Neodiprion lecontei: one gene and its partner. The protein of the gene in region 1 purifies or fractionates together with the protein of each later gene. This does not show direct contact. Links are inferred from orthologs where the notes say so. Each region holds a gene or a part of one and is shown on either strand. Other genes may lie near its edges.

Evidence for each region.
Region 2: the proteins of selenoprotein S (region 1) and derlin-1 purify together in Homo sapiens (affinity purification with western blotting; 6 studies listed by BioGRID and IntAct, with this or other methods). This does not show direct contact. The link is inferred for Neodiprion lecontei from reciprocal best matches to the Homo sapiens genes SELENOS and DERL1.

What each region holds. Positions count from the first base shown.
Region 1 is NC_060263.1:27,349,862-27,354,568, reverse strand, and holds selenoprotein S, read right to left. Parts: upstream 2,934-4,707; 5' UTR 2,720-2,933; coding exon 2,689-2,719; intron 2,280-2,688; coding exon 2,136-2,279; intron 1,965-2,135; coding exon 1,858-1,964; intron 1,664-1,857; coding exon 1,534-1,663; intron 1,322-1,533; coding exon 1,239-1,321; 3' UTR 745-1,238; downstream 1-744. Other genes in the region: kanadaptin, read right to left, coding at 4,059-4,547. UniProt on the Homo sapiens protein: Involved in the degradation process of misfolded endoplasmic reticulum (ER) luminal proteins. Participates in the transfer of misfolded proteins from the ER to the cytosol, where they are destroyed by the proteasome in a ubiquitin-dependent manner.
Region 2 is NC_060262.1:20,812,271-20,819,182, reverse strand, and holds derlin-1, read left to right. Parts: upstream 1-1,835; 5' UTR 1,836-1,994; coding exon 1,995-2,433; intron 2,434-3,221; coding exon 3,222-3,529; 3' UTR 3,530-6,079; coding exon of another isoform or gene 6,080-6,351; 3' UTR 6,352-6,399; downstream 6,400-6,912. Other genes in the region: probable tRNA N6-adenosine threonylcarbamoyltransferase, read right to left, coding at 6,080-6,351, 6,432-6,610. UniProt on the Homo sapiens protein: Functional component of endoplasmic reticulum-associated degradation (ERAD) for misfolded lumenal proteins. Forms homotetramers which encircle a large channel traversing the endoplasmic reticulum (ER) membrane.

The DNA of each region.
Region 1 (4,707 bases):
TTACTTTGCGGGATTAGCTCGTAAGTGTAATCAAAGGCTGACAAGTGTTTTATTTTTAATTGAAACAATTCATTTTCTTTTTTTAATCTTACCTTTATTTTATTATCTTACACCCTGTATATATAACGAAAGGATAATAATGTGGATGTTTCATATAGATAATAATTTATTTATTATTAAAACGGTGATCAATTATTCGTTAATGATTGACGGTAACAAACTTTTATAGTTATGACGGCTAAAAAACATCTAACCATGAAAATACACACACAACAAGCATACATACATACACTACACACCCAAATACACATACAAAATTGTAGATAATTTATAACAATCGCTATTGTCAAGTACTACGTATATATATCACTGCATATTATACCGATAATGATTAATAAAAGTAATGTTAGAAAAAAATCGTAGTAAACGTTCATCGCGTTAAATCGAAGCTCAAGAAACCGACATCGACTTCTACATTCTTTTGTACCGGGCGTAAATTACCACAGGTATGTGATATAAATTTAATTATATGAGTCTATTAATAATTGTACATCTACAAAATTACCATGTATGAAACCAATATAACACAAGCAATCAGTTTCGTTAAAACTTTGACTATTATTGGAAAAACAGCACAGTTCTCCAAAATTTCGACAGCCAAAAATGCAACGAAACCATAAAAAAATTACCTACGTTGAAAATAGCAGATTATATACAGGTAATGAAGAAAAATAACCATGTGTGAAGATTTTTTACACCTCTTTATTGCACTTATGTTTCATTTGTACAGTAATTTGATGAAATTAAAAAATAGAGTGTATTCTATCTCGAGTTAATATGTTAGATTCTGAAACTGTAGTGAAATACGAGAATACAAATCAAGTAAATATGGAGTATTTCTGTGATTTCGTTTAATACTAATTCATAAAAATCTGAAGATCAATCGAAGAAATAACAAAACATTTTACATAAATTATCAGAAGAGTCGCCCAACCACTTAAACTCATCTCGTATCAAAAAAAAAAGAACAAGAAAGAGCAAGTTACCTGTAATTTATTATGCTTGATAATACGGTTTTGAATTTAAGGATTTATTAAATAACCACCATACAGTGACAAATCAATTAGGTAATATTACTTTTAGATTGATATAATTAGAATCGATTGCGTGATAGATCATCCAAGTCTTAGGTTATTAATTGAGTTTGTATAAATGATTGATGTCTAAAAGTGTGAAAATTAACCACAGCCACCTTTTCCACAGCAACTTCTTTTTGGTGCGCGATAACCACGACTGGTTTCACCCATCAGAGGATTGTATTCTATGAAAAATAACAAATATTTAGATACCTATAATTGCACGAAAATATTATTGTTGAGTTGCAAAAATATCTATGCTTCGTAATCATGGATCATCATACATATTAACTCTGAATTAATTGTATACTTCTGTCTGGAAGAGAAATTACAAGCTCAATACTCATGTATATTAACATCTGGGATAACCGTTTCGAGTTAGAATCTACATATTTACCTGATTTGAGTGACTTTGAACTGGACTTTGAGCCTGATGCAGAATCATTGCCATCTGCATATCCCAATTTTTTACCGACATCTGTTCCTTCTGTAAGCTCCTTCAATGCTTGTCGCTTCTTTTCAATACGCTGTAAACGTCCAATAATTTAATTATAACTAATTGCGTAACACTGGATATGAAAATGTAGCTACTAGACAAGGAATTAAGAGTTTTTACTTCTACAATTCACTTTTAATACCAAACAAGATAAACTGAGAAGATAGAAATGAAACAACACTTTTACATGGTCTACATTTATCCATAGAAGTTTTAACAAACTACCTCTTGTTCTCGCTGTCTTGCTTTTTCAGCATCTTGCATATATTGAGCCTGCATTCTCAATCGTGCAGCTTCTATTGCAGCTTGTCTCTGTTGTAACATATCAGAGTCTAGGGAGAAGAGAAAACTGGTACTCATTAAATTCACAATTACAACATATGGGTTCGAAATTACAGAAAATAAACTCAAAGGCTAAGAAATGAAAGATGCAACGGAACGGCTATAGACCAGTTACTAATAATTTAGCTAAAAATCATTGCATGACTTAAATTTTTACTTACCTTTATGGTATTTTGCTGAATATTCGAATTCGTCTCTTTTTTGCCTCCAACTATTATACGTTTTCTTGATATATGGATGAAGGTAGAGTAAAACAACTATAGATGCAACTGCATACCACCCAAATGGAATGATCGCCTCCCACGCTAATGAAAAGAAAAGATCAAATTATAGAAATTAATAGCCAATGAAAGTCGTAGAACAAGGTAGTTTCAATTCAAATTACTGTAAGCTATGTTTGCCTATCTTCGGTACATGCCTCCAGTACGATATTTCGTCATAACTTACGATTTCATAGTATCATAAAAATGAGTACACATATAGTTATGAAGACAGGAATGAAGTCAAGATTAACAACAAACAAACGTCCAATGAAGAAAAGCCCTAGAGAAAAATTACCGTACTTTGTTTACTTGAGTTTATGCACTTATTTACAGATTCTATGGATGAAAGTGTTATAGAAACACAAGTAAAAATACGTCAGCAAACCTAACCTAGCCTCAAGCCCTAACTGTGAAAATGGTAATAAGAACTGTACTGCTATTCAATACGCACCACTTTCCACAAACGAATATGCGTTGTACATTTTGGAAGGTTTCGCGTATTCTCGCGGATCCAGCCGCTATTGAAGAGTCTTTGACAGCCGTCACGTAAGTCACGTTATACCAGCGTCAGTTTCGTTTATGATGACATTCAACAACTTGGCACATCGCCATGCTTGCTAATATCATACTGCATTTTCATCGTAAATGGTCGCTGTGCTGCTATGGCTTTTACTGTAATTTTTATCGAAGAATGGGAGAGTTTTGAACGCAGCCGTAGCAATCAGCAAGGCGCAGTGACCATAGGCTAGATTTTCACGAGCAGCAAAATGCTGCGGTAGCGAAAAACTGACGACACGGAACAGCACGGGCAATTGTTGCAGCATGCCGCTTGGTGGCGCCGCGGTAGCAAAATGCTGCCCGTGGAAATCTAGCAATAGAGTTCAGTGTAGCAGCGACACCGGAGAGCGATCGTCGCGAAGGCTCTGATTCGCTGAGTTCTCGCTCTATTATGCTGGTTGAAATGCTTGCAATTCTATTGCGGGGAAATTTGAATTAGTTTTCTATCACACCTATATGTTAAACCTTCAATTAAATAAACCTTGTGAAGTGAGTGCATCGAGTGATATCGTTCGGTATATCCCAATAGTCCGGTCTAAAAAATAAAACGAGTACTTGAACTTGAATTATTGTTCATTGTTTATTTAATATGTGCTTCTTTAAAAGTTATAATATTCACATTACTATTTGCCGACTTACAATCAAACGGCATTTACCTAATGCAATTGAAACTCGTTCCTGTAAATACTGAGATATTTCAAAGATTTACATAACATTTCACAATCGGCTTCGGTGTTTTATGGATTATTTTGCATCATCCCAGTTGTTTATTAGTGTAACGTTTGTGATAATGCGAACCTGCCTTATAGGGACCACTTACTACAGCTGCTACGGATATCTTCTGTTGATTCTTCCCTCAGGTATTTATAGTTTATAGTCTTCATCAGATTTTACTTACATGCAGTTGCAGCATATTATACAATAAAATAGACAACAGTAGCAGCAATGATTAAAGTCAAGTGATATAGATAAAAATGTTTCATAACGAATCCCTTTATTCAACGAAAAAAAATCGTTGATATGTACAAAATGATTATGTGATATATGATCGCAGTAAATGCATTACTCGCTACTCTTATCCCTAATTTACAGCTATTGTGTATTATTCTCATGTAGTGACACGTCTATAAATTCATAAATTAACAAGTTCCATGTAAGATGGAAAGTGCTACCTAACTGTCAAATAAGTTAAATTTAATGATACGCAGCTATTATCTACGTAGTTTTAGTCGCTGGTTGAATTTTATACAAGAGTTCAAATGATTAATATCCAAACTTATCATTAAGATTAGTTTTTCCATCGCCAGTTTGATTTTCTGGAGGTACCCACATTGAGTAATCCTCCTTGTATGTATCTTGTTCGTAACCTTTTTGCTTGTCCTTCTCCGCCTTCTCCAACCTTTGTTGTATTCTTTTCTGATTTCTCCGCTTTCGCTTTTGCACATCAACTTCCTCTCTCAATTTATCTTCTTTTGCTAATAATTTGGCTTCAGAAGAGCAGTCTATACGGTTTTGTTCTTCATTATTTTCGTCAGATTCCCTTCTATTATCACTTTCTAAAATACTACTCCCAGTTTCAGTAGATTCGCCATCACCAAGCGAACAACTTTCTGTCAGATTCAACTTATAAGCCTCTATTAATCTTGCATTAATAACTTCTTTTTCGTTCTCTGATTTATCATCATCTTCATCTGCCTCATTTGCTTTGTGGGTAATACTTAGTGAGCTTCCAACAGATTTTATGCCGCTTTTCTGAAAGCAATAAAAGTTTTTTCAATTACTTAATTTTTTTGATATTGAATAATCAACAGTTCATTCATTATTATAATTTTCAAAACAAAGTTACGAATCATCAGATTTAGGATTTAAAATTCATGTATGAGTAAAATTCGAACTAAATCAGGAATGTAAA
Region 2 (6,912 bases), on another chromosome or scaffold:
AGATAGAAGATGACTTTAAGCGCATTTGATCAGGTCGCTCTGGCAATGGGATTTTTATGAAACTGTTATTTTAAATCGCGGTGATATCATTTAGAAATTTTCTTACTCCAAAGTGTGATCTGTGAAGAATGTCATCAATAACTTTGCAAATGTTACTGCCGTTTAGAGTGTCGAATACGACATTAAAAAAGCAAAATTCAACTGGATTCTAAGATAGAGCCCGACTGTAGATTAATCAGCGTTTAAGGTAATTTTAGAGTATAGCGCCGCAAAGTAATTTAGTGTTCTCAGATTCGTAGAGTGTCATTTTCACCTCCGATTTATGGTTTCAAATTTGATTCTTTTTATTCTCCCTATGAACCGGAGTCTATCTCATCTTTTCAGATTTTCGACAGTCCGATTTTAATACATAGCGTCATTTTTAATCCGGTTAATGTATCAGCCGAACGGTCACGCCCCACGCACCACTCACACTGCCTCTTTCTTGATCGACCCGCGGCTTCAAGCGCGGCTTCAAACTCATATGACAGACGCCATTGTACACACAGTAACTTGTTTCAAAAAATATCTAGCTCGATATTCAGCCACAACGTCAGATAACGTTTTTAAATATTCTTATTTTTCTTCCTTCTTTTTTGCTGTTGGCTATGTCCCTTACGGCATTGTGCCAATATACAAATACCGTCATCATCATCATTATCATAAAAATTTTAATTATATTTTTAAGATGCATACCTACAGCGTTTTTCACTGGCTCTACCTTGGCCCTAGAAATACCTATAGACATGAAGGAAGCCCTGGTACACTCTTCCGTATGAGCGGAAAACGATATAGAGAGAGAAGTAGTAATGCTACATCCTTTCTTTGTCTCGCAGGATCCGATTGGCCGACTCTACTGATCTCTATTAGCGTTTTCCACTGGTTGCACTGAGTGCGCACTGGTTCGAACAGGGGGCACTCGTTCCGTGCATGCGTCGCCCGGCATCGGGGCAAACCTTCTGAGTGGAACGCCGTAAAACGTATAAAGGCAGACTAGATCATAATTTCTCCTAAATCACAAATAATGTGACGTTACTCGACCGACTGCGCGACTATCAGTTTTTTCAAGCAAGTGATAAAGAAACCAATTGAACAAACGCAACGGTAATTTTTTGTTTGTAAATAAATGTCATAAATGTTAGGCACGAGCATACAAGGGCAAAAAAAATGGACAATTCCACTGAAAAGATAAAAATTAATAAGTAGCAAGTCAAGTTGTCCCAATCTCCTGAAATATACCTAGCAGTTAACCTCTAAAAGCTGAAAAAATGTGTTTCCATACTTCGATATCGGACATGCTGTGGATTACTCCTATGAAACTTAAAATTTTGGGAATCTCTCCTCTATCTTTCGGCTCCAGCAAGTCCATCATCACTGCTAGACGAAGATGAAATTAGATCTAATAAAAGAGTTGCTGTCACAGCATCTACTTAGACTCTTTCACGATCGGCAGCCATAATTGCACTGCTTTGACACCGACTCCCGATTTCAGGGCAATATTTTACGCACTCAGTGCTAAATTCACGCACCCGAGCTGCCAGTGGAACACGCTGGAAATACAAATCTACCGGTAGTACGCTCTCAGTTCACACTCAGTGCAACCAGTGGAAAACGCTATAAGTGGAAAACGGCAGTACATGCTTTAGAAGCAGAGCTACTCACGAACTTGGAAGCGCAAAGGAGATAAATGGTTGTTGGCAGCACTGGGAGCTAATTTCGGAACGCACCATTTCTTTCATCATCACTTAAGGCATGGAAAACAAGTAGGTTTCTTCTCTTGGTATAGTTTAGATCAACCGTGTCTTATGCATTAGCCAATGCTGCAATTTCGGAGTAATCGTTGTCGGCAGCGAAGTGGTGGATTTTGTCATCTGACGGTTTAATACACAATCGTCGCGGTTTTTGGATTTGTGCCGTACATCAAAAAGTGGTTGAATAGATAATACGGTGCAAAAATGTCAGAACTGAGAGAGTGGTTCAATGCCCAGCCATTATTTACTAGATGGTGGCTTCTTTTATCCGTGGGATGCTCTCTTTTGGGAAGATTCGGTATTTTCAGTCCGGAACGACTCGTTTTATTCTACATTCCATTCGTTCACAAATTCGAGATATGGAGAGCCGTTACCAGCGTATTTTATTATCCCCTTGGACCAACAACTGGGTTTCACTTTATGATCAACTGTTATTTCATCTACAACTATTCTGTAAGGCTCGAACGTGGCGAGTATGATGGACGACCAGCTGATTATTTCTACATGCTTCTGTTTAACTGGGTTTGCTGTGTCATCGCTGGACTCTTTGGAGAATTCCCACTTCTCATGGACCCTATGGTACTCAGTGTACTCTACATATGGTGTCATCTCAACCGAGACACTATTGTCAATTTTTGGTTTGGTAAGAAAATAGATGCATAAGACTTAATGTCGCTCCTTATTTTCAAACTTGTTTTACTTAATATTGATCGGCAAGGTTAGCTGTAATCGTACACCAATTTATTCCATAAGTTACCCAACACATTCCCTGTAGAATAATGATATTCTAGTTTGCTGTGTTAATGTAACAAACGTAATGGCAAAATATTTAGCTACTGCAGTTGGTTGAATGGTTTACAAAATGCCTAAAAAAAAATATCCAAATATCCAAAACCCAATTTGAATTGTTCCCATATTTTGAAAGTCCACAGGTGTAAAAGTTAGCGTAATGGGTCAATAGTCTATTGATTTTTTTGATTTTCATCATTCTTAAAACAATTGATTGCATTGGGAATTCTAAAACCCTATTTGTTTGATTTTCGAAATATGCTGCATAAAAAAAAAAACAGTTTTGTCGTAGTAAAGATTGGACAATTGGGCGATTCAAATGAATTTTTTTTATTTTATAAATAATTTCATTATCAAAGCATGAAACAAGCAAAAATCTTAAGCAAAAACTTGTAGTATCTATCAAAGTGATAATAAAATTTTCACTCTTTTCTTTATCAGATAGCATACTTGTAAATAAAAGCTACATTCACTATTTATTCATACTACAATATCGAGCAGGATTTCTGCCGTGTTTTGTCACAGAAATGTATGACCTATTATCTTGTGTTATTCACCTACTGTCCCGATTTACTTATTTTAATGTGGAGTTTAAATAAAAAAACAAGAAACACAGAAAACAATGTGATATTGTCATTACAGGGACGCAGTTTAAAGCAATGTATCTGCCATGGGTTCTCTTTGCTTTCAATCTTGTGATATCTGGCGGTGGAATGTTGGAACTGGTTGGTATTCTAGTGGGACATTTGTACTTCTTCCTGAAGTTTAAATACCCTCAAGAATTCGGAGGTCCAGATTTATTGGCCACACCTCAATTTCTCGAGGCTTATTTCCCTCCTTCAAGACTCAGAGGGTTTGGAACCGCTCCTTCACAAAGGGAACCACAGAGACCGGGCAGAAATATGTATGGTGGTTATCAATGGGGACGTGGCCAGCCTCTCGGCCAGTAATCAAGGTGTATACCTAATTAAACCAAGTTTACATCTGTATATTTTATGAAGAGTGAGTGTACAAGTATACCAAGAAACTGGGAGTAAATGAAACATACTATGTACAGGATGACACCGGACTATCGCCCCATAGGCTACCCATGTGTTCCTTGTGAAAATCTGAGGTTAAAAAATTTTTTACTTTTTTATAGAAAATTTATTCTTTATAAATTACAACCACTTCACATTAGCCAATCCAGTAGCATTTAATGGCTCAGAATAGGATTGCTAGGGCTGGCGAAACCCCATTTATTTGTTGTGCACTCAGCAGCTGCCCTGAGCCATCAAGTGCTATCGAATTGGCCAATTTCAAACAGTAATTTACAAATAACAAATTTACTATGAGAAATATCATTATAGTCGCAAATTTTCATGAAGAATACAACGGTAGCTTATGGGGCAATATTTCTAGATCACCCTATATACATACACATATGCATGTATATATTCGTGTATACGATATATATTTCTGAAGATAGATAGTTTTTTTTCTACTTTCTCAACTTTAAAAATGATAGAGTTAATTTAATGCAGTATGAAAACATTATTTCGAAGTTGCCTGATTAGTTTTCCATGGTAAATGGTGGTACAATTTGTTATTTGAAGATAATTAAGATTTATGGGAATATCTCAATGTTGACCTGTTATATGTTGATAAAATTAATTATATCAAATTTAATAATATACCTACCAGTTTTTGCTCGAGTGCTTGCAAAGTAAGTTTCTGGAACTAGAGAATTCTGCACTACAGTACTTCCAACAAAAGATAGTTCCTTTCTTCACTCTGATGGTAAAGCACATTTAATAAATACAATAATGCTCAAATAACAGGGTCAGGGTAACCGCTGGCTACTTATTGTGAGTGAGTGGGGGTGGGGGGGCTCTGCATAATTAAGTAAGAAGTTATACACGGATCAGTATAATTAGTATTTATGTTTGTCGAATGATTACTAAAATGAAGCTTAGCATTGAGATTTTGTTAATCGCTGCTTGTCAATTGTGAAAAATTAAATGCAATCTTGTCATTGCATTTTCAATTGTTAAAACAAACTTTCGATTTAATGAATCAATCTGATTTAGAAAATATGCGTATTGCTTTATATTAACATCAAAGAAGGTAGCAATTTGGAACGGATCTCGGAAAACTTGTCTCGTTCACTTCCTGGTAAATACCTACTTATATTGGACAGTTTGAATGAATCTAGAAAAATACACAATGATTTTAAACGATATATCACTTACACGTATTTATGTGTACCAATATCATATGAACATTAAGTGTCAGTAATAATATTCAGGCTGGTGACAGATGAGGAAGACAGGGAATTATGGTACTCCAAACGTAAGATGTCTTTTTCAAAAGTCTTCACCTTCAATATTCAACTTGTTTTTGACAAATTTAACAAATAATTCTGTACCACATGTCAGTACAGTATTGTAGACTATTATTTAATAAGATAATGGCAATCAAACAAAACTGAATGCTGGCCTGTGTACAGAAAGCATAAAAAATACGGCAGGAAGTCTGGAAATTTGATATTTATCTGTCTTGTCACCGCTATGAAGTTTTTGCTGTATCATGTACATAAATGTATATTTTATTATAAATATAATATATTAGGTACAGAATTCGTGAATAAACGTGGATATCTATGTATGTTTGTCACACATTATATACAAATGTACAGGTATTGATCCAATTGTTTATCAAAGCAAACTTACTTGCGTTATATACAGGGTGAGTTTTCTCCGGGGTCTGATCTAGGAGGAGCTTGGATATGTGAGAGTCCGCCTTCTTCTATTCATACTCGTCCTGTGTCAATGCTTGTATCCCGCTATCAAAACAATCCCTCATGTGAGTAGATTGTATTTCGGATGTGTGCTATACGTGTGGACGTAAACAGATTTAGAGATAAGCGTATCTGCTCTATAATCACACACTATTATTTTGAAGCGGACGAGTATGAATAGAAGTCGGACTCTCAGCACATCCAAGCTCCTCCCAGATCAGACCCCGGAGAAAACTCACCCTGTATATACTATACATATAAGTTGCTCATTTTATTCTTGAAATTCTCATGCAATAGTAGTTTTTGAACCAAAGCCAGAAAGTTGTATGGCTTTGGTGTGAACATTATTTTTTTTATGTAAAAGCCGTAAGATACGCCATTATGGTCGCGTTTTCCGACCCTACAGTTGAACTTGTGCTCAATTGAACACGTCTCTGTATAAGGTTCAATTTTATGGCAGCAAAATGCAACCATACTGGCGTACTTTATGGCTACTAAATTGAAAAGTTCATAACATTGGCATCTGTGATAGTCTGCTACGCCAAACTGCGGACAGCGCTTGAACCATCAACAGTGAGGTCATTCTGATAGAACCAGCCAATAGAGCCTCTCACTGACCCTACTGGCATCAATTTTAATTTTCTCCACCTGACAGCGAGATGTAGGCCACGCCCCTACCACACATCCAATTATGTAATATTTCGTTCTTACGCCTCAAGACTCAAATTCGCCAAGCTACATGCACAGCATCTGTTCTGTATCGTTGAACGCAGGTGGTTTGATGCCAGGGTGTGGGACCACTCGTGTTGAATTGTGATAAACCGGCAACAGCTATCATCACTCCATTGTCAATACAAAATCGTTCGTCAGTTGCATAAAGGGTAGCGTTTCTTTCCTCACACATCTCAGCCATCATTTTCTGCAGTCTTAAATTACAACCGACACCACCAACTATAAGAACTTCGTGCGATCCTGTGTGTGCCATAGCTCGTTCTGTTAGATAAACAAAATAAACGGTTTGATGTCAAGTTAAAAAGTTAATGCATTTTTTTCTTGTCAGCTTATTTAATTACCTGTTATTTCTATCAACATTGCAAATAAAGTTTCTTGTAAAGAAAAGCATAGATCTGCGTTTGTATATTCGCCATTCTTCAACCATTTGGGTAGTCGTTCTTCAATGTGACTCAAGATACCAGAAAATGACACGTCCATTCCTTTGACTGTATATGGCAGTGGCGCCAGTTTTTGACCTCTGTTGAAATAGAAAATGGCATTCATTAAATGAATGAAGAAAAGTGTCATAATTAGCAGAGATGTGTCAGAAATTCTCAATCTTGAGTTACTAGGCATGCATAGTACTCGTAGAGAAAAAAATGCATACGCAAATTTGAAACATAAATTCCGCATATGCTCATGTACATAGTTTTTTGGAAATACGGACTTTTGTCATTGAAGCTTATAAAAAAATTGACTAACCAAATTTGCAAAAGTGTTGGCAAGTGAATTTTTTGGTTGCAAACCCGTTGGACCTTCCAGTGTATGAATGTCGAAGAA